Linked DNA regions of Mus musculus: region 2 is reported to be linked to region 1. The links are microRNA targets in miRTarBase. Many come from high-throughput screens and were not tested one by one. Region 1 holds a microRNA gene; the other region holds the end of a gene's coding sequence.

Region 1 (3,228 bases):
CAGCGTGATACTATTTATTTGAGGTGTGCAGAGTAGAGAAACATATTCAAACAGAAGGTAGAAATTGTGTTTTGGCTGAGCATGTGTGCAGGGGCTGAGGGACAGATTGCTTTGCTGATTCTTCAGTTATTAAAATAAACTTTCATCATTTCATCTGAGATGACAAAAGTTCTGGAACATGACTCATAGTGATGGTCCTACACTGTGAATGTACTTAACAACAGTGAGTATATTTGAAATTATCAAACAATGAACTTGATATCACATGTATTTTCCAAAAAGAAAACAAAACATTTTTGAGAAATGATCATTACGGTGTCAAACAGATGGATTAGCAGGTAAAGACATTTGTTGCCAAGCCTCACTGGCCAGTTTAACCCTCAGAACCAATGTCGTAAGAGAGAATAAGCTCCCACAGGAAGTCCTCTGACCTCCACATGCATGCTGTGCAGCACAGGCAGGCATACACGAAAGCACACATGTGTGCACGCAGGCACACACACACACACACAGAGTAAACAATCAAGCAAATAGATGGGTAGGTATGATGTTACTATGCACTGTGTAAAGATTATTAAATGCTGATCACCCCCATCCCCTACTCCAACCCAATTATCTGTTGCAATCTGGACATGGCATCCTATAAACACTGCTCCCCATTTATTCTCTGAATTGTCAATAAAAGCTCATCAGCCAATGGCTGAGCAGAAAAAAAGAACAGGGCCAGACTTCTGATCCCAGCCAGGAGACAGGGAGAAAGAGAAAGAAGGATTCACCACAAGGAGAGCCCAGAGGACACCATGGGAACACATCCGGAGCAGACAGATACTAAAATGCACTTGCATCTTGAGGATTTGGGCTGGGAGGTAGCCAGATTAGTTTAGAAGATTCAAGTATATTAATACTGCTCGGCTATTGTGCCACAAGTTTGATTAAATCTTATAGTCTCTAATTCATTAATTTGGGAGGTAACCAGGATAGAGAAAAAAACTGTCACTTTTAAAACTGCACTAATGCAAACGTAAAGAAAAATCATCATCAAATATAGAACTACAGAAACACGCCCACAAATCACAGCCATCCCTTCAGTCCACTATATGCAAACTTCAGAAGGCCTCAGTTCAAACAGCTTAAATGGTTATGCGTAACTCTTTGATGAATCCCTTGTCTAAGCTCCAGATAGTCTTTCTAAACTGCCAACTGCTAAGTACAGAACACAACTACAAACCTACACTACTAAAATCCCAGACTAACAATTCGTCCAAACAAGAGTTAAAGGATGATAAACTAGTAAATTAAAGTTTAGTGAAGGTCAGAGATACAGATGCTTTCAAAGTATCTGTCCATATATTTACTGATTAAGAAGACAAAAATAACTTTGGGGAGAGAACTGTGCTCACTGTCTTAACTGACCAGTTAACTACCATTACAGATGACACAAATCAACAAGATCTCCTCATGTGATGTGCTTTTAAAAGCCATACCATTAAAATCGTAAGTCTGGATCACACTGAATCAAGTCATGATAAAAGCATCAGAAAATAAAAATTAAGGGATTAACAAGGAAACAAGCATTCCTTCCATTCCAAATTCACAGTATTAAAGACAATATAAGGACTGAGAAATCACACCATATTACATAGGACTAAAGAGGCAGGAAAACTGCACTGTTCCAAGTTTCCAGTGAAGGTTGAAGTAAAAAATCTGATATAACCATAGTGGAAAACTAATGAACATTGAATTTTTAATATTATTTACTGTGTATATGTGTGGGCATACAGAAGCCACAGTAAACATGTATGGTCAGAGAACAATTGGCAGGGTTTTTTTCTTTTCTTTCCACCATGTGGGTCCCAGGGATTGAATGCAGGCTTGGTAGCAAGTGTCTTTATCTGCTGTGGTGCTTTGAATGTCTGTCCCCCTACCACCAGATTCCTGTGTTTTAATGTTTGGCCATAGCAGATGGTACTTGTACTGGCTAGTTTTGTGTCAACTTGACACAGCTGGAGTTATCACAGAGAAAGGAGCTGCAATTGAAGAAATGCCTCCATGAGATCCAACTGTAAGGCATTTTCCCAATTAGTGATAAAGGGGAAAAGGCCCCTTGTGGGTGGGACAATCTCTGGGCTGGTAGTCTTGGGTTCTATAAGAGAGCAGGCTGAGCAAGCCAGGGGAAGCAAGTCAGTAAGGAACATCCCTCCATGGCCTCTGCATCAGCTTCTGCTTTCTGACCTGCTTGAGTTCCAGTCCTGACTTCCTTGGTGATGAACAGCAATGTGGAAGTGTAAGCCGAATAAACCCTTTCCTCCCCAACTTGCTTCCTGGTCATGATGTTTGTACAGGACTAGAAACCCTGACTAAGACAGTACTATTAAGAGGTATGGCCTTATTGGAGCAGGTGTGGCCTTGATGGAGGAAGTGGGTCATTGTGTAGGTGGGCTTTGAGGTATCCTATGCTCAGGCTCTGCCCAGTGTGGAATCAGAGTCTCTTTCTGCTGCTTCAAATGAAGATGTAGAACTCTCGGCGCCTCCAGTATCATGTCTTCCTGCAAGATGTCATTCTTTCCACCATGATGATAATGAACTAAATCTCAAAAACTGTACGCTAGCCTCAATGAAATATTTGCCTTGATAAAAGTTGTCTTGTCCATGGAATCTCTTTACAGCAATAAAATCTAAATTAAGACACCTGCTGAGACATCTTGGTTCCGGGACTCCGCCGAGAGTATTCTGCAAGGTGAGAGTGTGGACTACAGAAGCTAACAGCTTCTGGGACAGGAGGGAGCCACAGAGCTTCTGAGGCAGACCCTTTTAGGGCTCCAGACATCCGTGCACCTTGCCGGCCAGAGGATAGGTGTACACCTGGCCCGGGAGGGCTTTGCCTGAGCATCGGCTGCAGACATCTTGGTTCCGGGACTCCTCTGAGAGTATTCTGCACAGGTGAGAGTGTGGACTACAGAGGGTAACAGCTTCTGTGACAGGCCGAAGCACACAGCTTCTGGGACAGATCCTGTTTTGGGCATTCATCTTTAGCCAGGAGGGAGGTCCGAACGCCAGATCTCTGTGCACCTTCCCTGTAAGAGGAGACCTTGCCTGCAGAGAGTGCTCTGACCACTGAAACTCAGAGGAGAGAGATAGTCTCCCAGGTCTGCTGATAGAGGGTAACAGAATCACGAGAGGAACAATCTCTAACCAGAAACAACTAAATCAACTAACTCTAGAGATTAC
Region 2 (3,000 bases), not on the chromosome of region 1:
CAGCATTCCCTTGGAGGACAGAGCTGGGCCCAAGGACAGAAGTTACCAGGAGGGAGGCTTCAGCTCCATTAAGGAGACCTTCCTAACAGAGCTGCTCAACAATGAATGGACTGCTCGTGAGGTAGTCACTGGAAGTGTTCAAGGTGGAAAGACAACCTTGGAGAAGGGACTCCTGCATTTAAGAGGTTAGACTGGATGGACCTCAGGTCTCTTTCAATTCTGAGATTCTAGAAAATTCCCTCAGGGAATTCAGAAGAGAATTCCTAAAAGGAAAGAGAAAGCACACATATGGTATACTTTTAGAATCCTCTTGAGTTTTCTTTTTTAAAAGGTACAATAGAAATGTAGTCTACGGTCTTTTAAAATGCATATTTACCCTTCTCCCACTATTAATTACGAAGGGTTCATTACGACTCCTTTATATTATAAAGAAAAGATGGAGATTATATTTATAATTTTGCAAATATTTTAGAAAAATGCTTAAAATCTAGTAGTCAATGCCCTAGAAACTTTATAGATTTTTAAGTAATATGCACAGATACAAATACATTATTCATTAAATACAGCTCACGTCTGTGTTTTATTATACTCTAAAATATACAGGAATCTTGATGTACTGAAAGAGTGCAAGTAAATACAGGATTCAAGCAGTCACTATTTCTATGTACATGCTCATTAATTCTTCAAAAAACCCACAAAATTATCAAATAGATCAAAATACTGTTCTGTGTTTTCACACTTTATATTCAGAAAAACCAGCTGATAATTTACAATGTCATAAAGTTCCAGTTTCACAATACAAAAAGGGTAAGATGGAATTGGGTATCATTTTGTTGCAATGTATGGAACTTTACCCAGCTCTAGTAAGACCCCTCCCCCCAATGTAAAATCATTGTTACTGGGAAAGTGACAGTTACAATAAAAGAACCACAGAAAAGTGTAATTTAAAATTAGCCTACTGTCAGCCTCTTCTCTGTTACCTGAAAGGCAGTCTTCAATTTGGCAGGCAAGCTCTGACAGTAAGAAGCTGCACACCCGCTACTCTAGATCTCAGGAGGACCTAAAGCCTGAAGTATTTTAAATCTTGCCCAGTACAGAAATGCCTTCCAAATGACCTGATTCTGTTTATGTTATGAGTCATCATCTAAAGCAAACTCCAATGCTTCTGAGAAGGAAGCCAAATGGTTTGATGTTGATTTTTATAAAGAAAACATCTGAAGCCAGGCAGTGGTGGTGCACACCTTTAATCCCAGCACTTAGGAAGCTGAGACAGGTGAATCTCTGTGAGATCGAGGCCAGCCTGGTCTACAAAGCAAACTCTAGTACAGCCAGGGCTACACATAGAGAGCCCTGTCTTAAAACAACAAACGACTACAACAACAACAACAACAACAAAGGAAAGGATGCATTCAAGAACCTTCCAGTGCTGTGAGGACGCAGGAGAGGAAGCAGGTACATTTTTAAGTATTTTCTTTTACATAAAACATTTACAATCCCAGTTTGTATAGAATTCACAACCAGCTTTCGACAATGTTTCATAACAAGAGTCTTCAAACTTTTTAAAATTTTGATTCTTGTTTTTAAAGTTCAAAGATTAAAATAAATGACAATAGAATTCCTCCAGCCAAAAAAGGTAGAGGTCCCAAAGTAACTAACGTGATGCAGGTGTGCCGCGCACAGAGAGGCTCAGATGTCCCTTCTCCAGGACCGCTGCATTACAAGAGGTGAAATAGTCTGTTTTTTAAATTCATTAAAAATTTCCTCTATGGAATTCCTTAAACAAAAACAATTCAATTTAAAAGCAAACCACTCAATCGTGGGCAACAGCCCTGACTTCATCTGCGTCTGTCTCTAGTACTTTCAACCACGCTGCACCCAGTTAACTGGTTCTGAAGTCTATAAAAAGTGGAATTTAAAAACTTTTATATTAAAAAATGTAAAAATACATCTGCTTCCTCTCATGGCTTAATACAGTAGATGCTTTCTTATAAAAACCAACACCAAACCGAATCTGGCCTCACTTTCAGAAGCACTGAAGTTTGCTTTAGACGACTTCTCATTTCATCTATTTCCGTTTCCACAAAATGGAGTTCTAATAAAAAAATCTGTATGTTATTTGGTCCTTGGCAATTTGATGTGTACATAATGCCTATTATACCAAACTTTTATTGCATTAAAATTTAGCTGTAATTTTATGGGTAAAATTTAATCTAGTGTTTTGATCTCTTTCTTTACAGCAGTGTTGCCCATGTAAGCAGGTCAGGGAGCAGTGTCCCAATTTCTGGCACTGCAAAGCCAATTAAACGATCCCACAAAGCAATCGACATCACTGTGTTTTCCACTGGTCAAGTCATTATTAAGATTCTAGAAGTTCCTTTTGCAAAACTTGCCTTTAAGACTCTTCTTCCTAATGTCATCATGTTTCTTCCATTCGTTCACTGCATGATCTTTCTTCAGGTTGAATCTGTGTATGATAAGAAAGTGCCTTTTTCCCGAAAAAGCCCGATTTGAAGTTTCAGTGTCAGAACTTCCTTAGAGCTGCAGCTCACTCGGCCTTTCAGTAGGTCTCGGAGTCAGAGTCGTTGAGCTCATCCACGTCGGTGTACAAGTACTCCTGCTCGCCACCAATGTTGTTAAAACTGCAGTAGGAGCTGGCTTCATTCCTCATGATAGGCAAGGCTTCAAAGCTAACTGTTTTTGAGGTGTTGGTATAACGGTTAATGGCATTGAATGTCAGGGATGTCAATGGGCTACTTGACGAGACAGGCATCATGGTGGCCAAAATGAGAGCCAGGCAGTCAGCCACATCCTTATTGGGAGCACAGGCCAAAGCTGGGGTGTAGCCTATAATTGAATTTAAAATTTAAAAGTTAACATCCCAAGATCTTCCATCTTCACACACAGATTTGATGGCTTACAGCAGATACTTTGAGTAGATAAATTCACAACTGTCTAGTAAGCAGGAAGAGGTACAATGCTAAGAATGTGAGGTAGAAGGAG

What was found. Region 1 holds the annotated microRNA mmu-miR-3471 (UGAGAUCCAACUGUAAGGCAUU, at 2,051-2,072, shown strand). A microRNA usually pairs through its seed, bases 2 to 8, with sites in the 3' UTR of a target mRNA and lowers its output. Matches are read on the target gene's strand: a 7mer-m8 pairs with bases 2 to 8, a 7mer-A1 pairs with bases 2 to 7 and ends in A, and an 8mer does both.
Region 2: the mRNA of Ankrd28 is a reported target of mmu-miR-3471. Seed matches in the 3' UTR shown: 7mer-A1 at 1,285-1,291.

What each region holds. Positions count from the first base shown.
Region 1 is chr4:3,535,053-3,538,280 of GRCm38, forward strand. Mir3471-2 (microRNA 3471-2) reads left to right here and starts at 2,038; the gene lies at 2,038-2,139.
Region 2 is chr14:31,699,463-31,702,462 of GRCm38, forward strand. It overlaps Ankrd28 (ankyrin repeat domain 28), which reads right to left. Exons shown (of 28, transcript NM_001024604.2): 28 at 553-2,844. The coding sequence ends at 2,558. Among named protein-coding and RNA genes, the nearest start is that of Btd, 60 kb to the left of the region's middle.